Oryzias latipes: one gene and its partners. Each later gene encodes a partner of the first gene's protein in a complex. Links are inferred from orthologs where the notes say so. Each region holds a gene or a part of one and is shown in the gene's direction. Other genes may lie near its edges. The genes, in order: snrpe, usp39, prpf4, sf3b2, bud13, cript and scnm1.

What was found.
Region 2: snrpe (region 1) and usp39 share a complex: the UniProt entries of both Homo sapiens proteins name them as parts of the U4/U6-U5 tri-snRNP complex. The link is inferred for Oryzias latipes from reciprocal best matches to the Homo sapiens genes SNRPE and USP39.
Region 3: snrpe (region 1) and prpf4 share a complex: the UniProt entries of both Homo sapiens proteins name them as parts of the U4/U6-U5 tri-snRNP complex. The link is inferred for Oryzias latipes from reciprocal best matches to the Homo sapiens genes SNRPE and PRPF4.
Region 4: snrpe (region 1) and sf3b2 share a complex: the UniProt entries of both Homo sapiens proteins name them as parts of the minor spliceosome. The link is inferred for Oryzias latipes from reciprocal best matches to the Homo sapiens genes SNRPE and SF3B2.
Region 5: snrpe (region 1) and bud13 share a complex: the UniProt entries of both Homo sapiens proteins name them as parts of the minor spliceosome. The link is inferred for Oryzias latipes from reciprocal best matches to the Homo sapiens genes SNRPE and BUD13.
Region 6: snrpe (region 1) and cript share a complex: the UniProt entries of both Homo sapiens proteins name them as parts of the minor spliceosome. The link is inferred for Oryzias latipes from reciprocal best matches to the Homo sapiens genes SNRPE and CRIPT.
Region 7: snrpe (region 1) and scnm1 share a complex: the UniProt entries of both Homo sapiens proteins name them as parts of the minor spliceosome. The link is inferred for Oryzias latipes from reciprocal best matches to the Homo sapiens genes SNRPE and SCNM1.

What each region holds. Positions count from the first base shown.
Region 1 is NC_019863.2:23,629,254-23,633,489, reverse strand, and holds the start of snrpe (small nuclear ribonucleoprotein E), read left to right. Parts: upstream 1-1,436; 5' UTR 1,437-1,605; coding exon 1,606-1,659; intron 1,660-2,844; coding exon 2,845-2,871; intron 2,872-2,953; coding exon 2,954-3,016; intron 3,017-3,707; coding exon 3,708-3,786; intron 3,787-4,066; coding exon 4,067-4,122; 3' UTR 4,123-4,236. UniProt on the Homo sapiens protein: Plays a role in pre-mRNA splicing as a core component of the spliceosomal U1, U2, U4 and U5 small nuclear ribonucleoproteins (snRNPs), the building blocks of the spliceosome.
Region 2 is NC_019867.2:12,332,842-12,337,025, forward strand, and holds the start of usp39 (U4/U6.U5 tri-snRNP-associated protein 2), read left to right. Parts: upstream 1-1,384; 5' UTR 1,385-1,499; coding exon 1,500-1,557; intron 1,558-1,868; coding exon 1,869-1,947; intron 1,948-2,023; coding exon 2,024-2,118; intron 2,119-2,205; coding exon 2,206-2,342; intron 2,343-2,873; coding exon 2,874-3,026; intron 3,027-3,111; coding exon 3,112-3,337; intron 3,338-3,932; coding exon 3,933-4,007; intron 4,008-4,182; coding exon 4,183-4,184. Other genes in the region: c9h2orf68 (UPF0561 protein C2orf68 homolog), read right to left, coding at 38-153, 952-1,061.
Region 3 is NC_019870.2:4,014-8,194, forward strand, and holds the start of prpf4 (U4/U6 small nuclear ribonucleoprotein Prp4), read left to right. Parts: upstream 1-1,381; 5' UTR 1,382-1,474; intron 1,475-4,181. UniProt on the Homo sapiens protein: Plays a role in pre-mRNA splicing as component of the U4/U6-U5 tri-snRNP complex that is involved in spliceosome assembly, and as component of the precatalytic spliceosome (spliceosome B complex).
Region 4 is NC_019876.2:19,504,089-19,508,361, reverse strand, and holds the start of sf3b2 (splicing factor 3B subunit 2), read left to right. Parts: upstream 1-1,473; 5' UTR 1,474-1,553; coding exon 1,554-1,677; intron 1,678-2,114; coding exon 2,115-2,161; intron 2,162-2,761; coding exon 2,762-2,992; intron 2,993-3,250; coding exon 3,251-3,286; intron 3,287-3,407; coding exon 3,408-3,480; intron 3,481-3,659; coding exon 3,660-3,760; intron 3,761-3,937; coding exon 3,938-4,046; intron 4,047-4,273. UniProt on the Homo sapiens protein: Component of the 17S U2 SnRNP complex of the spliceosome, a large ribonucleoprotein complex that removes introns from transcribed pre-mRNAs.
Region 5 is NC_019872.2:13,070,039-13,074,319, reverse strand, and holds the start of bud13 (BUD13 homolog), read left to right. Parts: upstream 1-1,481; 5' UTR 1,482-1,510; coding exon 1,511-1,647; intron 1,648-1,788; coding exon 1,789-1,876; intron 1,877-2,277; coding exon 2,278-2,362; intron 2,363-2,439; coding exon 2,440-2,838; intron 2,839-3,141; coding exon 3,142-3,446; intron 3,447-3,530; coding exon 3,531-3,639; intron 3,640-3,791; coding exon 3,792-3,930; intron 3,931-4,011; coding exon 4,012-4,193; intron 4,194-4,281. Other genes in the region: uncharacterized protein LOC101171185, read left to right, coding at 1-37, 138-235. UniProt on the Homo sapiens protein: Involved in pre-mRNA splicing as component of the activated spliceosome. As a component of the minor spliceosome, involved in the splicing of U12-type introns in pre-mRNAs.
Region 6 is NC_019877.2:12,480,875-12,484,899, reverse strand, and holds the start of cript (cysteine-rich PDZ-binding protein), read left to right. Parts: upstream 1-1,225; 5' UTR 1,226-1,338; coding exon 1,339-1,354; intron 1,355-1,557; coding exon 1,558-1,623; intron 1,624-2,995; coding exon 2,996-3,050; intron 3,051-3,198; coding exon 3,199-3,302; intron 3,303-4,025. Other genes in the region: pigf (phosphatidylinositol-glycan biosynthesis class F protein), read right to left, coding at 1-66, 583-810. UniProt on the Homo sapiens protein: As a component of the minor spliceosome, involved in the splicing of U12-type introns in pre-mRNAs. Involved in the cytoskeletal anchoring of DLG4 in excitatory synapses.
Region 7 is NC_019874.2:27,122,062-27,126,087, reverse strand, and holds the start of scnm1 (sodium channel modifier 1), read left to right. Parts: upstream 1-1,226; 5' UTR 1,227-1,318; coding exon 1,319-1,369; intron 1,370-1,588; coding exon 1,589-1,659; intron 1,660-1,732; coding exon 1,733-1,821; intron 1,822-2,240; coding exon 2,241-2,332; intron 2,333-3,060; coding exon 3,061-3,161; intron 3,162-3,252; coding exon 3,253-3,380; intron 3,381-3,473; coding exon 3,474-3,585; intron 3,586-4,026. Other genes in the region: lysmd1 (lysM and putative peptidoglycan-binding domain-containing protein 1), read right to left, coding at 1-129, 323-505. UniProt on the Homo sapiens protein: As a component of the minor spliceosome, involved in the splicing of U12-type introns in pre-mRNAs. Plays a role in the regulation of primary cilia length and Hedgehog signaling.

The sequences.
Region 1 (4,236 bases):
AAATAAATAAAATCATCTGCATAATCTCTCTCTAACCAGCTCAGAGTTAGGGTGTCTGCCCTGAGACTGGAAGGTCATGGGTTCAAACCCAGGCTGAGTCATACCAAAGACTGCTGGACACTCAGCATTAAGGGGTTGGATTGGGGGGGTTAAATCCACCAAAATGGTTCCCGAGTGCAGCTGTGTCTGCAGCTCACCGCTCCCCCAGGATGGGTCAAATGCGGAAACAAATTTCGCACACTTAGGTGTGTGAGAGAGAGTGGGGTTTAATTTAATTTAATTTAACACACATGTAATTAGAAAGTCACATACATGTTTTTATGTTTTATATTCTTAATTTAGCTCACAAAAATCTTAGGTGGGGAAAAAACACTCCTCAATGGAGCTCATGTTCCTGCTAAATTCATAGGTCTGCATCTGCAGGTGAAAATATATTTCACATTTAATCAAAAACAAAAGTTATGCGATAAATTCTAAACCTTTTTGAAGAAAGAACACTACTGAACAAGAAGAATCATTTGTACCTCTCACCTTCTTGACTAAATACTTTTATAGACAACTTCTTTAAATCGACTGCACTTTTTAACAATGTTTATTGTAGAACTCAGATTAGAACTTTAAGTTTATTTATAAGGAAAGTGAAGTGAAACCTTTTACTAATGTTCATCTTGGGCTCGAGTTGTTTCTTATGTTTTTGTTTTTCTCTGCTGCCCTCTTTTGGATAAAATAGGTCACTGCTGTGACAGTAGAACCTGGTCAAGATAAATGTTTAGGAAATAGTTTACAAAATTAAACTCTAATATTGAAAACAAAATTACTTGTAAGAAAATAATAATAATAAAAAGTTTGAACAATTATGGAAAAATTACAAAAATTATCAACAATTTTCACTTATTGAATTTGTGTTGCAAAAACAACTACAGTAATTACATATCTGTATGCTTGTTAATATTATGTGTAATAGGAAAATAAAAAAATAAAAATCTAAATGATAAATTAGACTATATACATCCAACAATTGAACATCTATGAAGTAAATGACGCTATATCCAAACTAGTTGATGTATCAATATTTAAACCTTCTTTTCTGCTATATGAAAGCTGTTCAAATATTATTGGTACTTGTGTTAATCACTGAAATTAATCCAAGCAAAAATAAACGATTACTGAAAATGTACAAGAAAAAAGTCGAAGCAAAACCTTTGTATTTTTCCCTTCAGGATTAAGAAATAAATATGTACTGAAACAGACGTTGACAAAAAATATGGTGACTCAAAAACAACTTAATTATTAAATTTAGCCTTTTAATTGGTACCAGATGTGTTTTCATACTTTTTATAAGTCATAATTAGTCTGCATATTTGAAGGATTTCACACTGAACGTAATTTTTGACCAAATATCAAATTGTGCAGTATTGACATCCTGCCTGTAGGTGGCGCTTGTTCGGTGAAGGGAAACCTTTCAGTGCAGGAACCGGATGCGGAAAGAAACCCGCCATTAAGGCAACTTGGCATCGTGAGCTGAACGTTGAAATCATTCAATTGTAAAAGGCAATATTTCTTTAACGAAATACTTCTTGCGTGTCTTTTTTGCGTGTGAAGAGAATGGCTTACCGAGGACAAGGACAGAAGGTGCAGAAGGTTATGGTGCAGCCCATTGTATCCTTTCTTTGCTGTTAGCATTTGTTAGCAGCGATGCTAATCGGTTATTTCTCGTGTTTGCTCATCGGTAAACTGTATTCCTTTTTTTTCTAGGTACTACATGACTTTCTAAATACATTGGAATGCATATTTACTGACTTTTTTTAATTTCAGTATTGAAGCACGTATTTTTCTGTTTATCGATCAAATTTAAGCACGACGTTGTACTTCGAAAGAAATTGAATTTGAAACAAACATTTTTAGCATTTTCTAAACGTACATAGCAATATGATGGGTTATCAATTTACTATTATACATTTTACAAAAATACGTTTGTTTAATTGGAAAGAAGAAAACAATGACACGTTTACCTTTGGCAGAGTTTTCTTTTAGTGAAAAAAGAAGTCAACAATCGAGATGTTGCACTTAACGACTTAAACTAATAATATTAGTTAAATGCACTACTTTGGTCTGATAATTAAATGTTCTTTTGATTTGTTGTAACAATTGGTCATATTTTGTAGTTTTTTATTTGGTTTTTAACTTAACTCAAGTTTGTCCCTGTGAGTGTGTGAGACCTGTTTTCTTATTTTTCTTGATTATGAAGTGACATGTCATCTATAAAAAAATAAAAAAGATGTTAAAGAAATTAAGAATACCATTAAAATTTGACTCGTAAAAAAACCCCTAACAAAGTCAATAAATAAGAGAAAATCTAATGCCAGAACCCGTTTTAAATCCATTTTTAAGCGTGTCTTCAGTTGTTTTGACATGGTTGCCCTACAGTTTACGTTATAACGTGGATACATCAGCAGAAGTTAAATAGTAAACTGTAAAACTCTAGAACAATTGCAGAATTTCTGTAAGCTGGTAAAAGGCATAACTAACGTTAAAAGACCGCCGATAATACTTCAAAAATAGATCAAAATGATCTGAGTGGGACTTTCGAGCAAATTCTGCGTCATCCATAGCTTTATTTCATCATTTCGGTCATGTAATTGGTTTGTGAAGTCCTTTTTCACTGGCTTACATTGAAATGTATGACATTCACTGGTATTTAACAGGATCTCAGCTCTCCGGTTAAAGTGCAAAACAGTTTGTGTCACTCTACTGAAATTGAAATGACTAGTTCATGTTATTTGAAATATCTTCTGTAACATTGAAACGGTTTAGACATGTCATTTCCTTGACTCTGTTCATCAGAACCTCATTTTCAGATACCTTCAGAACGTGAGTATTGAAGGCTCTTGCAGGTTCACCTTTTGTCTCGGTGGTGACTGAAATACTGATTCGTGTCATCTTTGCTTTGCAGCGCTCACGAATCCAGGTGTGGCTTTATGAGCAGGTGAACATGCGGATAGAAGGCTGCATCATTGTAAGATTTCTCTTTATTTTACTTTCACAGTGTTTGTTAACTTTCCAAATGTGTGCCACAGTTACTTTAAAACTGGTATAGACTGTAAAAACGATCGACGATTCCAGGTTTTCCTTCTCCGCTCCAAAAGGGGGAACAAGAGAAAGTTTGAGAACCACTGACCTAGCATTTTAGTTATTTTTTTTATTGGAGCTTGGTAAAAGTTCTTAATGGCTGGTGTTAGATCCACAATAATCAACTTAAAACTGTTTTGCAGAAATTTTTTCTACGACTATTTTGGGGCTCTGTTTTAGCTGCTTTTGCAGCGGGCACCTTTCTTACCAGTAGAGCAGAACTCTGCAGCTGATTTAAAAATGTATTTGAAAACGGCAACAAAAAAAACACACACTGGTTCAGACTCACAATACAGTAGGTAAATGATCAATGAGAACAGCATAATGACAAACTAAGCATGAATTAGGAGACCAATTGAAATTGCCGGTCCTACACTCTTGACACTTTAATCTATTTTCAGAACATTCTCGGTGATCTTTTAACTATGATTATGCTGTTTTTAGCCGAAATAAAAACAAACAACCTGTGCCGTTTTCTTGGGGGGGAAAAACCTTGAGAGCCTGAATTTAAATGAATCCAAACAGCTTCAGTTATGAAAGTAGTTAATTGATTATTTCCTTTTTATTTTATTTTCCAGGGCTTTGATGAGTACATGAACCTGGTTCTAGATGATGCTGAGGAGGTCCACATGAAGACCAAGAACAGAAAGCCACTGGGTAAGACTCTTTAGCTTGTTTAATTTGTTAAATTTCAGTTACTATTTTTTGATCTTAGCAGTTATTAGAACAGCTTTATTTATTTATTTTACAATGAAAAATTTGAATATTCTTTGTATTTATTAACATGTACTGTTAGCTTTTGTTTCTAGAACTGCTGTAACAAAATATTTGTTTGAGGAAAACATAGAAATATTTTTCCAGTCAGTATTTATTTGTTATACACTCAGGAATGTCAGTTTTTAAAATGTCAAGATAAATTTCTTTCCTTGTTTCACAGGTCGGGTTATGTTAAAGGGCGACAACATCACCTTGCTGCAGAGTGTCTCTACCTAGTGACACCAGTGACGACTGCAGATCCTGTCTTTTTTTTCTGTTAACTGCTTACGATTTTATGCATAAATGTGAGTTTCTCTACAACCTTTGAGAATAAATGGCTTTGTTTTTTTC
Region 2 (4,184 bases), on another chromosome or scaffold:
TCTAAAAGCAGCAAAGTAAGAAATATGTCAGTCTTACGTCTCCGTCGAGGATGGTACACCTGGATGTCAGGTCGCCGAGGCTTTTTGGGGGTTGTGGTGCGCCTGTGCCGCTGAAGCTCTTTGGCTTGCTTCACTTCTTTATCATAGTCATCTCTTATAAAGAAATTGAAATATTTTCTGATTATTTCTTAAAAACATAGCAAGTTGCACAGTTGAATAAAACACAGAGCATCTTGGTCATGGCCATGAACTTAAAAATGTTCCTAGGTCTGTTTACACATTGGAGGATAATACTTTTTTTAAAATTTTATTATTTTAAGGCAAAACAGCTTTGTTTTTCATACATCAAAGCAATTTAAAGAGCCGCACAACAAAGCAACATTATTATTGCTGTTCTTTTAGCTTTATAGTTCATCTTTCAAAGTTGCCTAAATAAAATCAACATGTTAAAAATCCGTTTTAAATGATTAAATAAAGAGTGAGAGTGTGGGAATTAAAACAAACTTTTTTGTTTGGACGTAAATCAAAATACTTATCATACATTATTGTAGCAGCTTTTTTTAAGACCAGACAGAGAGCAGATGCTGTAAAACAGCCCAACTCAGCGTATGTAATTTATCAAGGAGGAACTTTAAAAGTTTTACACACCAAACCTAAGTTTATATAATAATCCACTTTTAAATAATAAATTACACTAATAAAACATAAACCGAATAACTTAATGCTCCTTTTAAAATTTCAGTCAGTCCAATAGGGTTTTGCTTCTACTGCTTTAAAGTAAAAATAAACTTGACTTTAAGCCTTTTAGGTACTTTAAAAAAATGTTATTTCACTGTCTGCCATTTTTAAAAAAATCATTTCACATCAATCATGAAATGACAGCAGCTACAGATTGACATTTGACATCCCAAGTAAGTATGCTAACTCGGCTAACAGCAAAAAGGAAATCACCTGGCAATCTGGTTCCTCCGAATATGATGAAGGAAACCGTGGCTCATGTCCAGACGGCCCCCCGGTTTGTACTTCAGCTCATGCACTCCTTCATCTCTTATAAGATCCATTTCAGCAAACACTCTAGAAAGAAAACACAGCTAAAGAAGAACAAGCAAAATACTAACAAAAAGCTAGACAGCTAACGATGTATAAATGGATGTCCAACCGTAGCGTTCCCGGAGTTTCTACAAATTAATTTATTGCGTGTAAGTCCTACAATGCACATTGAACTAAAATATAAACTATTTTGGTTATATTTCTGTGACAAAAAAAGAAACTGAAGTATACAAATAAATAAAATATATTACTTAGAGTTTACATGGGGGTAAACATTTATTTTTTAAACTCCGGGTTACGTTTTGGTTTCCCACGCCATTACCACCGACGTACAACCACCGCGAGTTTCGAGGAGCTGAATAATATCCATTCATTTCCTCTCGTAAACCTTCAAGTTTTGTTAATTTTTGTTTCGTTAGCAAACCGTTTGCTAACTTATAGTTACAAGAATGTCTTTAAAGCGTGAAAGGGAGGAAATAGAAGACGACGAGGATAACGAAGACGAAGGTATGCTGATTTGTCTCTTACGTCCGTTTTTCGTTTTGTTAGCCAGCCAGAAGAGCATTTTCTAGCATAAAAAGTTTATATTGTGTCAGTTCCATTCTACACCAATAAACTGATGGTTTCACATGTAAGACAAAGACAATCAGCATATAAAAATATATGTAAAACCTGTTTATTTTAAAACAGAGATCGATTAATAGAAAAATCTTAGCTTGCTAGCAAGCATGTTTTGATTGCTAGTAGTTAGTTGTTCTCGTAAAAATGAATTCCGTTTACGTCTACTGAGCTTTATCGTGATTTGCTCTCTTTTGCAGTGACAGTCAAATTTAGGCGAGGACGTGTGGTTGAAGACCGAAGAAGCCGCCATTGTCCTTACCTGGACACCATAAACAGGCAAGGAAATGTTTGAAAATGTATGCTAAAGCTAGTTAGCATTCTTCTTGTAATTCAGTTTCTTCTCGTCTTGCAGGAGTGTTCTGGATTTTGACTTTGAGAAGCTCTGCTCCATTTCTCTGTCTCACATTAATGTTTATGCCTGTCTTATTTGTGGGAAATACTTTCAAGGTAGACATATTAGCACATCAAACGCACATTGTTATTTTCCTTTTTAGATGACACTAAACATCTTTACGTTTGCATTCCTTGTTGCAGGCAGAGGTCAGAAGTCTCATGCCTACACTCACAGTGTCCAGTTTTCTCACCATGTGTTCCTCAACTTGCACACACTCAAGTTTTACTGTCTGCCAGACAACTATGAGATCATTGACTCATCGCTAGAAGACATCACAGTAAGTAATGCAGTAAATCTGCTGTTTTTCAATGTATAAATGAAAAGGTAATTGCTCTGGGGGGAAAAGTAAACAGTTACATGTTAAAATTAAACAAAGTTTTTTGTTTTTCTTCTAGATATGATTGATAGATTCTTTTGCTCACATTCCTTGTTTGTCAGTGTAACACTTCAATAGTTTTCATTAACATATTCTGTGTTTAAAAATAGTTTTAACTTGTGAACCCAGAGTACATAAAAATGTGTTCGATATTTATATATTTTATACAAGGCCAATGTATTTGATTGCATAGTATATTTTATTTACTATATTTTGCACATAAGTATCAGTACTAGTATCTAAAAATAAGTTATTTAGCAATGTCTTAAAGTATACTTTTTAGAGTTTTGGCTGTAATTTTAATACGTCTTTTTTTTTTACATTTCTTTTTTAAATTTTTAATGTTTTATGTTAAGTAATTTTTACCCCTCCTTTTTTTATTTTTTGTAAGCTCTTGCTTTGTGTTGGTAATCTTGCTCTTTTTTTCTTTAGTATGTGCTGAAGCCGACTTTCACCAAGCAGCACATTGAGGGTCTGGACAAACATGGTAAACTGTACAGAGCCTACGATGGTACAACCTACCTGCCAGGGATTGTAGGGCTTAATAACATTAAAGCCAACGACTATGCCAATGCTGTACTACAGGTATGAAACCCCGCTGATGTTGATTTTTGAGGCTGTGGCATCAACTTAAATAACAGGGGGTTTCATATTGTACTTTTGTTTTTAGGCTTTTTCCAACGTCCCACCTTTGCGAAACTACTTCCTTGAGGAGGAGAACTACAGAGACATCCGGAGGCCACCAGGGGACATCATGTTTCTGCTGGTGCAGCGGTTTGGGGAGCTGATGCGCAAACTTTGGAATCCGAGAAACTTCAAGGCCCACGTGTCGCCCCACGAGATGCTGCAGGCTGTAGTCCTGTGCAGCAAGAAAAACTTCCAAATCACCAAACAAGGTAACTATTTTGTGGCCTGTGGAGTGCTGACATAAATAGGGCCATGTAGGCTGAGATTTTGGGCAAAAACCTCATTCCATCAATGAGAGCACTAAAGATGAAACATGGCTGGATCTTCCAACATGACTGATCCCAAAAACATAACTCTGGCATCAAAGAGAATCTGTGGAGGGAGTTTAAAGTATGTTTCTCAGCAAAAGCCTCAAAACATTACAGCTCTGCATGGAAGAATGGTCCAGAATAATAGCTATAGTGTTTGTAAACCTGCTTAAGACCTATGTTTGACCTTTGTCATAGATAATCATGGTTACATTACAAACTATTGAGGTGAACTTTTGTTGTTGACCAAATTCTTATTTTCTGCACTATTATACAAATACATTCTCTAAAAATCTGACAATGTGATTTCCTGGATAATTTATTGGACATTTTATCTCTCAGTTGAAGTATATCTATGGTAAACATTACAGACCAAACTCAGCTTTTTGAGCGGGACAACTTGCAGAGTCAGTGGCTGCCAAATACTTTTTTGCCCCACAATCTTTAACTCACTGGATAAGTTTGTAGAGTTTGCTCAATGTTTTCTGGTTTGCAGGTGATGCTGTGGACTTCATGACATGGTTCCTAAACGCCATGCATGGCGCTCTTGGAGGCACAAAGAAGAAGCCATGTGAGTCAGAAATTCACTCCTAGTTTATAGTAAATCTGTTGAATTTCTGAATTCATTTATTTGATGTGTAATTTTCTCTTTTATTCCAATGTAAGGAGTCTATTTTAGAGCCAGTGCTGGTTGTCTGCATGCAATGTCCTTCAATTTAACTGGTCTGCTCTTTGTTTTCACACAGCA
Region 3 (4,181 bases), on another chromosome or scaffold:
ATTTCTGCATCTATTATTAAAGTATTTATTAGTAATACAGTGGAAATTAGTAGATTGGGTTAGAATGTTGATTTACGGTATGCGCCCCTAAATTTTCTGGTTGTGCCCCTAAAATTTTCAGTTGGGGGCCACAGTGCTCCCAGTGAAAAAAGTTAGTCTGGAGCCCTGTATATATATGCGTCACAAGGAAAATAGAAATAAGATCAGAAACTCGTGCGTTTACTTTGTCTGTTCTTTTCTCCAAGCAGAAACTCTCTTTTGCTGATGATGCAGCCGTGTTACTTTATTGATGGACGTATAATCTTCATACGCCGTCATTTAAATGTCCGAATCCGTCTTACTGAAGTACAGCTCTCTCTCTTTTTTTCTCCACACGTTTCCATGGTGACTCCAGAAATCGGCGATCCATTGAGAATGTTTTTATGTACCTGCTGTGCACGTGCATTAACCCAGGGTTACCAAGTGGAGCGTAATTATGCTAACTCATATCCGGTCTGTTGGAACCGACATACCCAGAGTAAGCAAGTTCAGGTGGATTTCAGCCAGAGTTCAGGGTTAAAGTCAGGGGAGTTTAAACATGACTTCTGGAATACCCCCCTGGTCTCTGTGGGGGTTTACTCAGGAACCTCTGGTTGGATCAGATCTTCAGACTCCCACAAAGAGGGGGTCAGAAGTCTACAGTGTTTGACCTCAAAGTCACAAGCTACTCCAAAATATCATTTTAAAGAACAAGCTCTGTTTCTTTTACATAAATTATGGGACACTAGAACTTAAGCTCATCTCTGGTTCTGTGGGTTTGGGCTATTCTGGAATTGAAGACGCCCTGTGACTACACCCAGCAATAAGAACCATACCATTTCTCCACTGAACCTCAGGTCTGAATCCAGCAGCCAAAACAGCGCCCCCTAGGGAGCAAAGTGGACGTACTTTGCTGATTATCTGACACACCTAACCACGAAACGTGAAAGGTTCTAGTTTGATGCTCCACTGGTTCCAGTTCAGTCAAAGGGTCTTAAAAGAATGAGGATGCTCTGGGTCACACGGATCAGTTTGTGTAAGGTTTTGGTTGACAACCACCTGTTTCTGTCATGACAGCCAGCTGTACAGAATCTCTGATTCGGAGGAAAGCCACGAGCTCTGCTCCGTCTGCAAGGAACCCAAGACCTGGAGATGAGCTCCGGACGTTTGACCTCCTTTCTGGACATCCATTCAGCAAATAAACAAACACCACGTGATCTGCAGTTTTACTTCTGGTTAGCAACAAATTAGGTTCGTCACGCGCTTTTACCAGTGAGCTTACCTTGAACGAGTGGGTAAAACGCGCGCTCGCGGAGCTCCACGACCTGTTGTTGAGACACAAGACGCGCGTATCCAGGTTTTTCCGGTGAACCGGAAGTAGTAGGTTGACCCGGAAGCGGTTACAGCACATATATCCGGATCATTTAGCGCGTGGAGGCAGCTTTGTCGGATTAAGGTGAGTTTACGAAAAAAGTAACGAAGCTGTAGCAGCAAAAACAGTTAAGGACTAGCACGCGCTCACAGCATCTAATTTATTCCTCCGCCGCACGCGCTTTCAATCAGCCACAGATTCCCCCGCGTGGATCGGAACCGGTTCCACTGCAGAAATTGGTTGGAGGTTCTAACTGTTGTGCAGCTTCGCCTGCAAAAAGGGTGATGGAGGGAAGAAATGTTCAGTGTTTAGTAGATGACGTCATTAGTACAGACTGAATGTCCGTTTGCCTCAAGAAACGCAAAACAAAGAAAAGACGTAAGAATAGGCTGGCATTTACGATAGGACAGGTATAAAACATCAAATTACCAAGGATAGAAGATTAAAACTACTGTCGACTAAAATGCTTCATCGTTTAAAAAGGCGACCGTACCAAAATCTCCAAATAGGGGAGGAGCATCTGAAAGAAACAGAGAAGTTCAGCCGGCTAACAAGGAATATTGTGTTTTTGTTTTTCATTTAACTTTATTTGTTTTTAATTAACTTTATTCATTTCGTAGACAAATGCAAACAAAGGGAGTCAAACGTACACATGTTAACATAAAATGATGGATTCCTAGAGAAGAAAATAATAGAATAACTGAATATGATAGAGCTTATTGATGCTAACAGATGTGAAGAATTTATGTCATGTTTACATTTTATTTCTAAGTATCACTTCGGGTTTGCTGTTGGGGACTTAGCTGAATATAGAATTTAGCAAAAAATTAATATTTTTATTAAAATATGAATCCTTTTTGTCCTGATTAAAATGATAGAAATCGAAAATAACATTCTCATAAGGGTGAAAATCAGTGCAGATCAAGTCAGTGATCGTCTTTTAGAGAAGGAGGCCAGGCGTCAATCGAGAGGGTCGGAGGGTCCTGTCCCGGGTAATTATGAAAAGCAGACCCGTTATGTACATTTTCAAGGCATCGTTTCAGATGATTTGAAACCACCAGGGGGGTATTCCAGAAAGCAGGTTATGCTAGCTCCCACGGTAAGTTTGAGGCTAAGGAAGTGGATAACCTCAGCTTTCTGTTCCAGAAATGGAGGTATGTTTCAGGGTAGGTCAAGTTGCCATAGCAACTCATGCTCTGAACATAACCTGGTCAGGAGCAGGTTTAGTTGAAGGTTAGTTTGTTTTTCAGAGATGTGAAGCAGCATGGCGTGTCCATTTGAAGATGATTTAGTGGATGAAGAAGCTCAGATAATACTTTTTCCACCATGAGAGGATGATAAGACCACATATGGATGTTGGAAAGAGAAACTTTATACTTTCATCTAACTTAATTATTTGCTTAAGTTAAGATGAATCTTTTTTGGAGTTCAGTCAGCTTAAAAATAACACGTAGTTATCAGACATTTATTTTACTTTCATTCAAATTGATTCAATGAAGTAGGTGTAACTTTGGTGCTGCTGTTAGATCTGCACCGCAAGGAATTGTGGGATACCATTCCCTTTGCCTGTCTGGACGGATTTGGGTTTAAGTGTGGGTTTTTGACCAAATGTGTTTAGTTTAGCTGTTTTACTGTGTTTTGTCTAGTTATTTTGTCCTGTTATGTTTAATTCTTTCTGCACCATGAGTGAGAGGGAGGAAGAGGCGGATGAGTTTATTTAGCACCACTAGTGCGCGTTTCCATGGTGACTCCAGAAATCGGCGGTCCATTGAGAATGTCTTTATGTACATGCCGTGCACGTGCATTTACCCAGGGTTACCAAGTGGAACGTAATTACGCTAACTCGTATCCGGACTTTTGGAACCGACATACCCAGAGTAAGCAAGTTCAGGTGGATTTCAGCCAGAGTTCAGGGTTAAAGTCAGGGGAGTTTAAACATGACTTCTGGAATACCCCCCAGGTGCAGAGATTGGGTTCACTTCTACTCTGTTGACGGCTACATTTTCTTCTGACCTGCGGGTTTACGACACAATTTCCAAACTCATCTCCAGAGTAAATATAAACATGTGAGCGGTGGAGGCGATGCGGCTCAATGGCTGCGGGCCGTTATCGTGTTGTGGGGATGGCTTTATAATAATAATTGTTATGAACATTCATCGTCTCCGCCTTGTTCTCACTGTCCACTTCTGTCTTGATTCACACTTGAGTTGCTCCTTTTTGGTCTCCTGAACAAAATCCGTAATAAACTGCATCTGGTCCAGAATTCCACTGCCCATATTGTCTCCAGAACTCCAACCTTTGATCACCCCCCCCCCCCCCCCTTCCTCCAGCAATTGCACTGGCGTCCAATTCAATTCAGACTCCTCCTCTTCCTCACCTTCAAATCCCTCCATAACCTGGCCCCTGTTTACCTCTGAGCTCCTCCAAGTTGACGCCTCCTCTCGTTTTCTCCGGTCCTCTTTTTTTCTCCAGCTTTCTCACATTGTTTTTTTATCCTATTTTTCTAAATGTATTTTTATTCTTGTTTTTACTGCTATGTACAGTGACCTTGTGTGTCAAGAAAGGCGTGTGTCATCAAATTATTATATGCAATTCTTAAGATGGAAAAATTGATATTAAAATATAAAAGGAAAAATTCTACTAAATTTGGTCAAAATTCATCAAATCCATTCAGAGCAGGCTTCTAATGAATTCCACTGTCTATTTGATGTCTGCATTTAATGTCTCCACCTTATACTTAAATTTAAGTGAAATGAAATTAAACCATTGGGTGTTTTTGCTGATATTTGTT
Region 4 (4,273 bases), on another chromosome or scaffold:
GAGCAATTAAAAATAGTGTATTAAGCAAACACTATTGTGTGGCTTTCATGTTTGTTGGTTTTCATCAATGTTCGCTTTTAAAATGTTGTAATGGGGCAGTATCAATACATCTGTTTAGAATACATTTCAAGTCCATACATTTTAAGGTGAAGAATTTTAAATATTTTCAATGCTACACATTAAATGAGTTAAAAAATTTATAAAACATTTGAGTGAATTTTACATATTTTATGAGTTGAGTAATATTATAAAAAATATAGTTAGTTGAAGTGTTTTTTTTAGTTGGAAAATATTAAAAACTTTGAGTAAATAATCTCTCTTTTATAAGTTGAGGAATCTTAATATTTTTAATATGAAATAATACAAATTTAAGCCAACTGACAATATAAATTTTAATTAATGTTAACTTAAAAGTTTTAATAATATAACTTAAAAACTATTGCGTAATCTGTTACACAATAATTTTTAAGTTCAGTCAACTCATTAGGGTTTACAGCGATGCATTGGACTGGAATAATGGACTATAATAATCTCCCATTAGTGGGAACAATCACCTAAACACTGACCACTTCTTGGTTTCAATAGTACAATTCCCATCAGCCCTTGTCCTCAAACCAGAATGTTCCCAAGCTGCTTCCGTTTATTACTCACCTGTCTCTCATCTGCAATCACACAACCTCTATATCACTTGTCAAACTTAAGGCCCGCGAGCCAAATACAATACTTGGTGTGTATTCATATCTAAGGGGAATTGGAGTAGAAATATCGGATTGGGCAACTGTACATTAGGACTTAAACACTGTCAATATAACCTAACCTGACAGAATAAAATTTAAAAGGATTTATGCTAGAGTAACAAGCAAACATGTTTTCTGTGCAACTGTGTCACTTTAACAAGTTATAATAAATAAATGAGTTATTTAACATTAAGGAATAATTACGTTTATTTTTCATTATATTTAGTTACCTTTGAGGAGAACCACTATGCTGATGTGGCCCTCGGTGAAAATGAGTTGGACACCCCTGCTATATATACAGAAAACTAGCTCACATTACAAAAAGTTGTGGCACATATTTACCTTTATACTTGTAACTTCTGTTAATTTCAATTCTTAACAACCCAAAATCAATTTAACAAATTATACAGCATCACGTATTTGAGCCCTGCCCTGTCATGGATTTGATTTTGTTCTAGTACAAAGAAAATGCGAATATACTTCAATGTCTTTAGTAGTAGTATATTAGTAGTTGTTGTTGTCATTCATTGTAGTAGCAGTAGTAGTAGCAGCAATGGGACAACGTTTTTACATTATTTACACAAATATATCAATTTGTTTACAAAAAAAACGTTTTCAAAAATCATATTTCAACCAGTTAACGGGCCAACACTGACACCCAGAGACGTCCGTAGGAAAATTAAAGGAAAATTTACAACTTCATATCCCTAAGACCATTGCGTTTCTCCCATAATGCCTTGCTTTTTTTTCTTGTTCTCGTTTCTGTCTCTCGCGAGTTTATCTCTTTTTTCCACCGCCGTTGATCGACTGCTCAACATGGCTTCTGACGGACCGCCGGGCACGGACCCGAATGATTTAGGTAGTGTAATCGCAGCATTAAACACATGGAGCGTCCCAGAGCTTCAGGGGAAGCTGGTGGAGCTAGGAGCTCCAACAATGGGTAAGAAAAGCTCCCATATAGTGCAAAAATCAAAGCGCGTTGTTTTGAAGCTAGCTTACGGCTAGCATTAGCTTGGAGCACATAGTCGTTGAACCTCCGTCATAAAGCGCTCCAACAACAGGCCCGCAGAATGGTTTGACTCCGTTTAGTATTTTCATATGCATATTTTAAAAGCCGTTTTTGTCTAATATTTTACAGTTGGAATACCAAACGTAACAATTGATTGCTTTTGATGATTTCTTACAAAAACTAGCTAAGTTTTTGCTGATGATGATGATCGACAGTTCCATTGTTGTGAACTGCTTAGGATTTGCTAATAATGTGATCAATAATTGGTATTTTACGTCATATGGTACTCTGATTACGTTAATAAATAACTCCAAACCGATGAATTATTATTAAAATAAAATACAATGGTCGTGCTTCTCTTAATTTAGGCTCTAGAGAGGAACTCATTGACAGACTGAAGGGCTACATGATGCAGGTAAGCTCATCCTCGAAATCAACATCACACCCACACAAATGCAACTTCCCATTCTTAATTCATTTTTTTTCTTGTTGATTTTAAAAACTATTATTCAAATGGATAATAATAAAATGTTTTTGAGGGTTTTATACCAATAGTTTGGGTAATCTCTCTTGTAGCCCTTCACATTGAGCCATTAAAACGGTGTGGAACGTTTTTTAAATTTTACGATGTCTATCTGGATTTATGTATGTTTAATTTTGTAAAATGTTTTAGTATGCTGTATAGGGATAATAGTTCAATTGCAAAAATCTCAAGTTAATATGGCAACAAACAACTAAGGGAAATCATTTCATTAGTAGCCTAACAAAGAATAATTGGTTGGCTAATGAAGGCTATTGAGTGGACTTAGTTTTGACTGTTTTTAACTTATCTGCATTGTTCAACTTCTGAATTTATAAATCAGACTGTAGACATGTGATGTTTAGCTAATTTTTAATGTGTCAGGTGGAAAAGCAAAAATAAATGGCCCAAAATAAAAATAAAAAAGATTAATTTCATATCAGTCAGCCTCCTATCTATTGCTCTTTTCACAATATTTTCATTTCTTTTTTTCAGGTGCCGAGCATTCCTCCCATGCCCCCGATGCCCATGCCACCTATGCCCCCAGGGATGGGAATGATCCCAGCAATGAACATGATACCCCCTGGAGCTCCTCCCTCTGGCATGCACATGACAATGGATCATCCAAACATGCCACCTCCTGGTCTCACACAGGACGATCAGCTTAAAATGGTTCAGCAGAGAGCTGCCATTGTGTTACAACAGGAAGAAAGGGCCAAGCATCAGGTGGGATGGCAGAACTGGCCAACTGCTGCATTTGACACATTAATCGCTAATATTGTAGTACTCGGCAAAACAAAATTACTGGACTGTATTTAAACATTGTAAGTTTTACAAAGTAAATTAGGTAAAAACAACGATCATAGATACAATTTTTCAATGTATTTGGGTAAAGCCAACATTTTTTACTAGAGACCTTTAACAGAAAACACCTAAACAGTCACATTTGCTAAACATTGGCCTTTTTTTGTTTGGCTAAAACAGGGGGACGAAAATGAACTTCTGGAGCAGCAGCAACGGGTAAGGAATTGCAAACAACACATTTTGTTCAGCTGTCAATTAAAATAAGGAAGACATTTATTTTCTTTGTTTCTTATTGTGATTTTATATTGCTTGCATCTCTCATTCATTTCTTCCTTAGGCTGCCGTGCTGCTGGAACAAGAACGACATCATGAAATGGCAAAGATGCAGCCAGCTGTCTCTGCAGTAAGAGGTTTGTGGAATATCCTAAAACCTTTTACAAGTGATTCCATTCAAGATCAATGTCACAAAATGTTTGTCAAGGGAAGACGTCTCTGCTTCCTACAGTGTTGCAAGCTGACGTTAAACCAGCATTTAATAGTATATTTTTACATTATCAATCACAAATTTGTTTTTTTCACAAAACCAAAGTTTCAGTTTTGGATCCTCACGGGCCTTTACCTCCTGGTGTCACCTTGTTGCCATCTCATAAACAAAAGGTGCCACCCCCTCCAGGAGAAGATAACAGAGACGTACGTTTTTCCTGCACTTCTCTAATTTTTGTTTTAGACATAGGTTAACACTAATTCTGGTGTGATTTAAGCAAAGTTAGATTCTTTTGAAGTTTTTTTAAACTCTTTGAACTTTTTTGATTAAAATGCGACAACCTGCTGGTTTAGTGTTAAACTGCAATTCCTTTCTTCCTGCAGATCTGGCAGAATGAAGAGATTAGTGTTGGCGGGCCCAAGATCCCACAGGCTCTGGAGAAGATCCTTCAGCTGAAGGAGATCAGGCAGGAGCAGCTTGTCGATCCAGCAGGTTAGACTTACAAAATAAAATATCTCCAGATTCTTTACATTCACTGTTACTGTCGTAAGGTATGGCCCCTAAAACATTTTTATTTTAGGGTATAGCATGGATATGTGTTTTTTGGTTATTTAATTTAAAGTCTGATTTTTTTTTTTTTTTTGCTTTATTTTTTTCAACAGAACCTGATCTGCCTTAAGTGTGATTTTTTTTATTACTGATTATAAAACCAAAACAAA
Region 5 (4,281 bases), on another chromosome or scaffold:
ATATATGGGGAAATGAAACAAATCACAGTGGAGAAAGGTGGGTGGACTGAAGAGCTGAAGGGAATGAGTGTTAACCAAAAGCTGGCAGAATTTTTCGATAGATTTTTGGTGTGCTTCAATAATTTCCCTCTTTACAGATTCCCTGGTGCCATGCTCAGCAGTGAGCGTGTTTCTGCAGAGATCCTGGTTCTTGATTGGCTGCCTGGTCTTTTTCCTTCATCACAATGACAGCTGATGGCACTGAGAAGAGAACAGTCAGGCTTTTGCAGATACTCACTAAGCTAAGCACTTTCGCTTCTGTCACAGAATAGATCTCTCTTCCTTCTGTAAAAAACACTGGTAAATGTTTCCACTGTAGACGATTTAAATGTTTAGGAGCTGAGAGCTGTGAGTACTGAATGTAAATTAACCATTAGTAGAAATGAAAGTGCAGCTTTTTCGTCGAGGGAGACAGTCTAATGGCAGACTAAGAGATGCAGTTGCTGACTTATTAATGAGGTATTATTGATTTTATGTTTTCTTTTCTTTTACATTAAAAAGCACTAATAGTTTTTGTGGCCTTTTCCTCACTGCAAAAGCAGCAAATTGATTGTGTTCTTGTTTGCTTGTTAATAAAAGAAGAGCTCTGTGAATTTGCTTGTAATCATTTCATTTATGATTGAACAAATATAATTGTTTTGTGTGTTTGTTTGTTTTTGTTGTTTTTTTTAAATCATAAATCAAAGAACACTGTTGACAGATAAATACCAGTATTTGGAAATGTCACATTTTCTCAATGGAGCCTAAATGCATTGTCATTCATGGAAATCATACTAGACCAGCAGCTGGTTATTACTGTCTTAGATAAACAATAACCCATGACATTTAATCTGTCTCTACATATTGGACATGACATGTAACAGGGACAATATTTAGGTCTTTTTGTCTCTGTTATAAAAAGCAAGTAGTGACGGCCTATATTTTTGAAAAAGTTTTAGTGTAAAAAAAATGATCGACAAATAAAAAAATAAGAACAAGAATTGAAATCGTATGCAAAGAAGAGTAAAGACTTTTACAATTCAAAAACATTGCTCTCCTGTCTTTCTAGGCATCGGTGTATGACCGACTAAATTTGTGGGTCAATTAGGGAAATCAGGCAATTTTAGCCTTTTTGGTGACAGTCATTATTTGTATGCCAGTCACTGGGTCCCACCACAGACACAGTCTTGCAGCAGATTGTGGCCCAGTAGTTATCATTTTTAACTTCTTTGGAGTCAACTTTATCTTCAATGTATTTATTTATGCATAACAGTAACTTTTTTGTTATAATAATAATAATAATAATAATAATAATAATAATAATAATAATAATAATAATAATAACAATAATAACAATAATAATAATAATAATAATAATAATAATAATAATAATAATAATAATAATAATAATAATAATAATACAGAAACGCGTCTTCTTCCTCGTCGTCTACATTGACCCTTGACGCGACCCGTAGTTTCCCACAATACAAAGATGGCAGCGGTCGGTGGTGGAACCGGACCCGAGCTTTCTAAAGCTGAGTACTTAAAGCGGTATTTATCAGCTGACGACAACCATGGTGCATCTAAAGGAAAAGGCAAGAAGAAACGAAAAAAGCTTCCTGAAACAAGGTGAGTACCGAAATACTGCGCCGTTTGGCTTTCTGTTAGCATCCAAGCTAGTTTCCTTATGCTAAGCTATTTTTGATTTGGAACTTTGTTTCTATGAGTTTAATCGTTTTTATTTTGTGTTACTTCGTTGTTTTTATCTAGACTTAAAATAGTAGACGATGATATTGATTGGAGACAAATGGTCCAACAGCAGCCGGATGTCGAAGAGGATGAAGAGGAAGCTCCGGTGGTGAGTTAGCTAGCAGCCTTGCGTTAGCATTTCCCCCGCAGTACGGTCTACTATGTTTAACTTTTACACGCATGAAAGTCTGATGGCGATATTTGATTTGATGATAATAAAATGTATGTCTTTCTTTTTTGTTAACATTATTGAAATGTAAATCCAGACGTAACACAGGAATTTCATCTGACGTGAGATTGAATTGATCTGCTTTAATGCAGGATAATCGATGCAAGATAGATTTGACACATTGGTTTGAATGAAATATGTGGGAAACTTGCATTGTGTGTGAAGCAGTCAACACAGATGTTTGAACAGAGTAAATAATGATTTGATTTGGTCTATGTTATGTACATTAAAGTTTTAAAGCCAAGGAAACCTAAATTTTGTACTTTGATTTACCTTCTCAGATTGCAGAGTTCATCGATGAGCGGCCAGAAGAGGTGAAACAGATGGAGGCCTTTAGGACCAGTAACAGATGGAAAATAGTTGGGGGTAACTATAAAAGCAGTATATAAATTTGGCTTCTTTTAAATTATGTTGTTTTTCATATTAACTGTGTTGTTCTGTAGCGGATGAAGACGAAGACAAAACAATTGACGAAGAAAATGAGCAGGAGGAGCCTTTAACATCTAAAAAAAGTCGGCATGACTCACCAGAGCTGTCATCGAAAAGTGGGAGACATGGTTCCCCTTTCAAAAAACCAAGACACGACTCTCCAGACATTTCTCCTCCTAGGAGAGGACGCCATGACTCTCCGGATAAATCCCCTCCCAGGAGAGGACGCCATGACTCTCCGGATAAATCCCCTCCCAGGAGAGGACGCCATGACTCTCCGGATAAATCTCCTCCTAGGAGAGGACGCCATGACTCTCCGGATAAATCTCCTCCTAGCAGAGGACGCCATGACTCTCCCAGCAAGTCTCCTTCAAGGCAACATTTAAGGAAGTCTGGGAAAGTTAAAAGTAAAGGTGAGTTTTATTTTACAGTTAAGATTTTCTTTCTTGCTTTTATACAGAACAATGCTCATTTTGCACAAGTCACTGAAAAAGCTGAAAACGGCATACCAATGCCATTTAAGCATTGAATAAGCTTAAAGCTGGAACCTCTTAGATTTTTGGGTTATAGTAGTTACTAAAAATATCAATAGTTATATTGACACAATAAAATGTTTATGTAAAACACATTTATTTTTTTCTATTTCATATTAGGATTACTAGTTTTGCTCTCTGCACTCTAATATATATAGTGCAAACATTCTCTTTGATTCTCAGAGTCTTCTCCCACTAGAAGGAAGCCCAGCTCATCGTTACACGGTAAACCAAGGTCGCCAGATGATCGGCGGTCTCCTTTAGCTCATAAGACTAAGGTTAGGCTGGATTCAGACTCCGATCAATCTCCTCCACGGAAAAAGCAATCGAAGCGAGAAGCTTCCGACTCTGACCAGTCTCCCCCTCGGAGACGCTCCAGAACAAGGCAGAGATCCGATTCCGACCAGTCTCCACCAAGAAAGCACTCGAGGAGTGGAAAGGACTCGGATGGAGATCTGTCACCACCACGGAGACCTGGCCAGTCTCATGTGAGGGATCTGCGCTGTTCAGGGATTCGTGTGAAACCTAATTTGCAGCACAAACCCCATCTAATATTTTTGTGTGTTTTTCAGGACCACAGGATGCTTTCCGGAGGAAAGGCTGGTTTGGTATCTGTGGAGATTCTAAGGGAAGAGCAAAAGGAAAACCGACGCAGAGAAAAAAAGAATCAACCTCTTGAAGGTTGGCCTTGCTTTTGTTTTTCAGTTTTACTTTTAAAAAAAAAGAGAGTTTGAAACAACCCTTTTCTTATCGTATAACTTTAGACTTTCTATATTTCTGAAGTACCGGTATATGAAAGTGTTTTTATACTATTTATACTATTTACGCATCAGATGAATCTCGTAATGCGGAGACGGTCTTCCGAGACAAAAGTGGCAAAAGGAGGGATTTGACCTCAGAAAGGGAGGAGCAGAAGAGAAAAGCAGGAGAAAAGGCTGCAAAAGATGAAAAATATGCCCAGTGGGGTAAAGGGTAAATCCACAAAACCATACCAAGTCACTGAAAATGCTACTTCCACCACATGTAAGAAGACAAGTTATTGTTTGTGTTTAGGCTGGCTCAGAATCAGATGGAGCAGCAGAAGCTGGAGGACGCCCTGCTGGAAGCCCAGAAGCCCTTGGCCCGTCACCGTGACGACGAAGATCTGGACCGCATGTTGAGGGAGCAGGAGAGGGACGGGGATCCCATGGCTGCCATGCTTCGGCGGAAAAAGGAAAAAAGCTCAAAAACACAAGGTTTGAAACATTCTACAAGTTTTTGTACTTTTTTTTTTTTTTTTACTCTTCTGATGGAAAAATTTGGGCATTAGTACTTCAAGTACAG
Region 6 (4,025 bases), on another chromosome or scaffold:
AATCACAGTGTGGAAGAACAGACATGACAAGAAAAAGTACAGACAGGCACGAAACAGCCTGGAAAGCTGTGGAAAGAAACAGGATTATCATTATTACCAAAAAGTTACAACGTAGACATTTGAGAAAAATCCACTTAAAAAATGAACAATTTTTATATGTAAAAGCTCAGAAAAATTATTTTTTTATATGAGTTTGTTGTAGCAGAAAAATGTTAATAAGCAACAATTGCATATAGACTGTCATATGAATTTAAAATGTTTAACGTGAAAATAAAGCACTGTAGCAAATGTTTATAAACTCAATTAAAAATGTGTTCAAATCAGAAATACACATTTCTAATTATTACTGAAACGTCCATTTGCAAATTTGTTTTTTAAAAACGAGACAAAACGTTTACGAGTAAATAATAGGAATTAATTGTTTTGAAAAACCTAGTTTTCTATTATTTTAAATTGTGTAATAATTATTTCTGATACTTCTCTCATATACGTATGACTATTTGGCAAAAACCTTAAACAAATCAAGCACATTTCTTTGGGTTTGGACAAAATAAAGACATTTCCGAGGGAAGACATTCTGACCTTATATCCAAGTGTATTTTTTTTAGTGGACGGTGTGACGCCGAGGAGCCAGAAGACGACGACACTGACAGCATTCACAGCACCGGATGTGCAGTACAGCCACAACAGGTGAGTGCCGTACACCGAGAAGCTTAGAACAAAAACTGCAGGTAGCACCGTAGCCATGAACATCGAAGCGGCGATCAGAGCGTGGGTCGACACCATGGCTCTGATTTCGTGGTCCCACATGATGAAGACTTTCACTTTTCACAACAAGACAATAGAATAATGTAGATAATTTCAGTAGAGGTGTCTTAGAATTTTGGTAGGCGAAAGGACACGCAAATCCATGTATGACTACGCTTCCGTAAATATGAAAAAAAAAAAGCAATTTCCGTTTGCGTTTCACAATAAAACAGAAGATTCTCTTTTGATTGTTAATTTCTACCAATTTCTTTGTTTTGACATACATTACCCAACATATTTAAATCATATTCAACACTTTATAATAAAATACTATTTTCTAAAGTGAAATTTATATTTTCGAGTGCTGATTCCGTGGCGAAAATATTGTTACTCTCATTTTACTTTTATTCTGGATTTTAGAAATGCGCTTCTAGTCGGAGTGAACGAATCACATAACGTTTTACTGACAGGATTACCCAATGAGATTTGTTTGTACAAGTTGACGAAGACAACCGGAAGTTACATGAGCAGAGCTAGCTTGAACGCTTGTACACATTTTATATCAAGACAGGCCAAGTAAACGCAGCTGAGATGGTTTGTGAAAAATGTAAATATCGCACTTTCGCCTTGTTTCTTACATAATTTTACACTTATGACTTAGTTAATATAGTTAGTTAGTGACATTTTTGTTGTTTTGTTGAGTGGCTAATATTTTGTTATGCTAGCATTTGTTTTGGTTTTCCTTGCTCGTAGTTAGCTTTGTTAATTATTAATAATTCTTTGTTAATGTGGGATTTCCTAATATTTTAGGCGAAAAGAAGCTCGGAAAGGTCATCACTCCTGACACTTGGAAGGATGGAGCACGAAATACGACTGGTAACGTAGTCTCTATCCAAAAACATCCAAAAATGTTTACACGTTTAATAATTTAGACAATCGTGGAACGACAGGTAAAATAAATATGTTGCCCCCAAAAAATCTGTCTTGTAAATGAACGTCATTAAGGAATCGAAACGATGGAAGGAGAAGCTACTGCTAAAATATTTATTAGAACAGTACTCATTTACATATCTGTTTTCCCCGTCGGTCGGTCGGTCGGTCGGTCGGTCTGTCTGTCTGTCGGTCTGTCTGTCGGCTCATTTTCGGCCTACATCATAAAATTGTCTATTTATTTAAAAGTATTTATGCCCTACGTTCCTTTTCAAGAAAATGGTCTGTGACCCTGTCGTACCAACTAGGTGTCTCAACTGACTTGACCAATGTCCTCTCAATGGCCAGCAGAGCTAGGCTGCTTAAACAGCCTTAGCCCATTGTGTTTCGGGTGTAGGACTTAAGTCACTTTAAACAGGAGAAGCTCCTTTCTACACCTGCAGATGTAACTCCAATTGTTGCCACTAATGAGAACAGTTTGTAAAGCTGAGGCATTGGACTGTCCAACTCCATGTCTTTAAGGAACACCAAGTAATCATACAGCTTTCCCCTGTTACCCTGCAAGTCCTGATCTGAAAACAGGACTTGAAGTTCTGACCTCAGTCTTCCTGAATCAAAGGGAAGAATTAACTATCTAAAAAAAAATATTAAACTCTGTAAAACTGAAACAATCAATGTGGTGTATAATTGTGTGAAATGTATGATGAAAATCAAGCAATTTAGCCCAGCAATTATCAAAGAAATAGGTTGCAGCAGTTTTTAGTTCGACTGAACTTGAGAAATGTGAATAAGCGAAAAGCTTCAGTCAGAAGGCGGTCTTTTAACAGACCCTTCAATCATCACGGAGAAGCTCGGAGTTTGGGCTGGCCCACTCCCCACTCACCCCCAGAGACGCTGAGCATCCGTTGGCGGGACATAATCACAGCGTTTATCCAATGACCATCTAGTTTCGAAGCGCAGAAAAAAAATGTTCAAAGCAGCCCGATTGAAGTCAATGGACGCTGGGCTTCTTTAGAGAAATGCACTGTGATGCTGCGGGAATGTATGAGAAGGAAATCGAGTCAGGCGACTTGCTATATGTAACTGATTCTTAACGAACTCGTCTTTGAGATGAACGTTTTCTTACACATTTTTAGTCAATAAAATGTTAATAAAATAAAATACAATACAATACAATAGTACATATTTGACCATTTATTTTGTGACATTATAAGGGAAGCAGAGCTTCCCTTGCAGTCTTAAAGAAATCGCCACTGGTATGTATGTATGTACATACATGTGTATATATAATCTCACAATGTTGTTTTATTTTTCTTAGAGAGTGGAGGCCGTAAACTAAATGAAAACAAGATGTTGACATCTAAGAAGGCCAGGTGAGTATTGCACTGTGAAAAAACTTTTACTCATAAATCAAATGGCAGTGTAGTAGTTTCTAGCTTTCTGTAAGCACTAGTGGTTTATTTTGCTGTTAAGGTTCTTTGATGTTGCTAATTCTCAATGTTTAACTGTGGTTTTTCTCAGGTTCGACCCTTACAGTAAGACGGGCTTTGCCATCTGCAGAATCTGCAAGAGCTCTGTTCATCAGCCTGGATCGCACTACTGCCAGGGCTGTGCTTACAAGAAAGGTATAGTTGTGCACTTAAACTCTATTTTTATTTTCTTCAATACAAATTGAAGGTAACATGTCAAAAATTAACACTACAATGTATTGTAGAACCAAAAATCATATTAAAGCAGAACAGTATTAAGTAGGTTTTTCATTTTTATGTTCAGTCATAATATTGATATAAATTTGTCTGTAATTTTGTAAATCTTTACTATAACCAACATTGTGCTGGCATATGTTTGTGCTTCCATAACAGATGCCCATTTATATAAATGTACACATGTTGGCAAGTCCTTTATTATCTTCTCACTACACACTTTAATTTATAAAATATCCTTTGATGTAAATGTAATTTTTTTAGGGTTCCTGGTGACTGATACAAAGAATTTAAAGGTATAGGAATAGGTTAACTTAACTGTTTGTTTATGTCTGTAAAGTATTTGAACTGAGTGATGAAATTCAAACCTCAAAAGCCATATTTTTACAAACCTCGACCCCAGCCCCAAGCACTCGGCTTGCAGAAGTGGATACAAGGTTTTACATTGATTGCAGAATTGCATGTTGTGCCCCAAATATTGCAGGTTTTGATGAAGTGGTCAAAAATAGCCCCTGAGCTAAAAATTATGCCTGAATATATGCACAACCCAAACTGCTGTGAAACAACAACTAAATGGGCAAAAATAAAATATTTATTTATTGAGATGTTTGTCAAACTTTGCTATTCAAGTGAAACCCAAAGGCT
Region 7 (4,026 bases), on another chromosome or scaffold:
ACTTTGTTCTTCACAGTCCTCAGACAAATGAATCCCTTTCAGGTCTGACAGAACAGGGATCGACAGAGACTTCTTCAGGAAAATAGAGTCGTTGGTGTAAAGCCTATTTGCTCTCTTGATTTGTTCCATCTGGAAGACAGAAGAATGTTGTTGTTTTTTTTTTAAACTAACAAATGTCAGAATCAAAAAAAATTATGTCATAACATAAAACCAATGAATAGATTTTACTTTTAGTGTGGAAACAAAAGATGTTCCTTGTTAATATTTCAAATTGTTTTAATTGTCTAAAGTAGGGAGTACAAATCTGGTTTATTATACTTACAGAGACTCCATACTTCAGGGCCAGACCTTGGAGCGTGTCTCCGGACTGAACCGTGTGTTCAACGTGTCTCTGGCGGACCGGAGACGCCGGCGACGATCGCATCAAGCTGCCGTACGACATAGCTCGGCTTCCGCGAAGAAGACCGCCTCTCCCGGATGGCAAAGCCGCTCGTTGTCCGGACATATCCGATAATTATTTATGTGAAAATCATCAGTAACACGTACGCAATTTTAATGTTGGAACTGGTTTGACGTCGTCCTAAACTAGCAAGCCCAGTTCACCTGCTAGCTGCTAAAGTATCGACTAATTCATCTTCTTCTTGCCAAAGTGCCGAAATGGCACTGCCTGAACCTTATCAACAGTCGGGAATTGAAGAAAAACTACTTAAAACACCTTAAACATAGCTTAACTGTCAGTAAACAATCTAAAAACATATCTAAAAACTTTAAATATGTTGTTTTTTTCAGTCAGCTGCAGTCTGTTGCCATGGCTGCCGCTGTGAATGACGGCTCTCATTGGGTGGGTTGTGTTCAAAGTAATTTGAATACTGAAATTTAAATGAAAACATAACATTTTTATTTTTTTTATTTTAATCAGAGTTTGTTTAGTATGAATTAAAATTTCATTGATTAAAATAGGCAGTTTTTTTCCCCTTCGCGATTTATTTACAAAAAATATGTGATGTTATAAACATTTCACATCGATGCTTTCTTAAGAGTACATGCAAACAAATCAATTTAAATGTAAAATAATATTTTAACAATGGTTTGTTAGACTAGTTAACTTGACCATAAATAAATGAAATGGTACGATGGGAAACTGCAACGTGGTTAGCTGGAAATCGTGGACAAAAAAAGTGTACATGTTTGTCCCTGAATGCAGCACTACCAACACTTCCGGGATAGTGTGACGTATAGAGAAGCTAGCCCAATGAGTTAACTCATTGAGCTAGCCGTTAATCTGGTGTTTATACCATTGATTTACTTCGATATAATTATGTCATTCAAAAGGGAAGGAAATGATGGGAGCCAACTTAATATTTTAAAGGTATTTAAAATGATATAATACATTGTATTCATAAAAGAATAGGCTTTCTTAAAGTTCATACGCTGTCGTTTTTTATTTGTTTTGCTAGCTTAGCTAGTAGCAAGTTTCATATGGATATAATGTACACAGAGTAAATGAAAACTGTTTGGTAAAGTATTTAATGTAAATTTTTCATCTGCTATGAAATACTTACTGATGATTTGGGCTGTTGGTTTACAGAAACGGCGTGTATCTGACCTTTTGTCCAATTTTATTCCGGAAGATGAAGCTGCTCTTCTGAGTAATGGCAGGTGAATATAACTAAACCCTAAGTGTCAGTTTTGTTGTGAAAGTAACTCACCTTTCTGCGTTCGCTCCACACAGGTACACGTGCCTTGTGTGTTCGTATCGCCCAGTGTTTGACACAGTTGACATGTTGACAGTCCACAGGCAAGGGAAGAAGCATTTAGAAGGTAAATATCCTCCTTAAAAAGTGACTCTTAGTGTGGAAAATTTTTAAATTCCCCAGTATAAAAGTGTCTTGGTGGTCATATTTAGATGTAGACAAAACACTGTAGGCTCATTTCTCTCAGATAGTGTTTGCACATTTGGCCCCAAACAGATCTTCTGTGTTGTTGATGTAACAGGTGTGTCATATTAAGGCACTAATGACAGGAGGTGTGAGCATCATTCGCCTGACGTTCGTTGTTTTCCGACATTAATGCTACATAACAGAGTATTGGTAGAAAATGGATGTAAATGTCACTCCAGAATGGGTGTGACATGTAAATATGTCATATATGTTTTCTTATTTTTTAAATAAAGTTTTATTATGCATGTGCTTTTGGTGCATGCTTTTATATCCGTTGTGTTTTTTTGTTTTGTGTTTTAGGTTTAAAATCCTTTTATGGGAAAAAGTCAAAGTTCAAGAATGAAATTGCAAAAAGAAAACATGAAGATTATGTCAGAGCAGAAGACAAAGAGGTTTGGAGCTTCAACTTGATCATTTTACCTGCGGGTAATTTTGTATTTTGACCGACCGACCGACCGACCGACCGACCGACCGACGTACCGACCGACCGACCGACCGACGTACCGACCGACCGACGTACCGACCGACCGACCGACCGACCGACCGACCGACCGACCATCACACGAAACAATGACATGATGACCGACCGACCGACCATCACACGAAACAATGACATGATGACCGACCGACCGACCATCACACGAAACAATGACATGATGACCGACCGACCGACCATCACACGAAACAATGACATGATGACCGTGTGATGACCGACCGACCGACCGACCGACCGACCGTTTTTACAGAGACGACTAAATACTTAGTGTTATTGTGGTTAAATTTTTATTGTTGCTGAATTATAGTACTTTATTGACTTGTTTTGGAATGACAGTTGTAGAAAGGATGCACCTCCTGTACTCCTGTAAAGATATTATGTCGCTGCTTGTAACATGTTAAATATGGATATAAGAATAAGTCGTATTCTTGTGTGACATCCAGTACGTGCTTGTGGCTGCCACGTGACTCAGACAACCTGTAGACTCTGCAGCGTGAGTTGAAGCGGGTGTCTGCTGGTGGAAAACATGAGCAGAGCCGGCCAGAGGACACATGGAGCATTTAGCTGAGTTGGAGTCTGTCAGAGCTCAGTCTGAGAGACAAGTCTCTTTTGTTGTGATTGCAGGAGCCCTCCAGTTCGGCACCTTTACTGGCACAGACCCGGAAACTTACCCATCATGCTCTTCTGAAGACTGTTCCATACAACAGCTGCCACAGAAAAACCAGGTTGGTCATCATTTAAGGTTAAAATACTCATCTGTAGTTTAAAATGGAAGTAAAGATGTGAACATATATCTGTTTATTTATTTATTTTCAGTACAAAGTTGAATAAAGGACAGTCGAGCACTGCTGGAAACACATTTCAACACAATTTCCCATCTGCATGTTGGAAACCAGAAGTTTCTGACAATGCATCCACAAGTGATTCTAGTGATTGTTTCACAGGTAAAATCTGCTCCTAGAAATCATATTTTGATATTTTATTTAAAATAACTGATGGTTCTGTTTCAACTGATGCTTTTATTTTTATTTTTGTAGAGTCTTGTTCATCCAAAGACAGAATTCAGTGTCAGTCTGAGTCGAGACAAACGGCAGAACTCATAACGCCGCAGAGGCGAAGAGAGATGGAGCACTACCTCAAACTGAAAAGGTGCAAAACTCTCTTTTCCTTTTTGTCACCAGTGCTAGATTGAATCTGCAGGCCACAGAAACTATGTTTTAGAAACTCTTAGCTTAACAGTCCAAGCAGTAAACTGATAAAATGAGTGAAGTCCTCTGCCTCAGGCTCCACACCCAGCTCCTCTCCAGCATCTTCACATGCGGCCCGTTGAAATTATTCTGCTTCCTTGATTTGTTCTCTCACTCATTTATTTGTGTTTGCACCATTTCTGTACATTGTGATTTATAGGGTAACAAATATATGGGATGTACACAAGACTTGACATTTTAAAACATCTGCGTCCAATCCTGACATAAACAAATGGCACGCCTATCAACAAATAAAGTAATAAATCCACCAAATCTTAACAAAGTTCTTCAATAAACGTATGGAAGGTTGAGATAATAAATTCATAATTGTGAAAGTTTATCA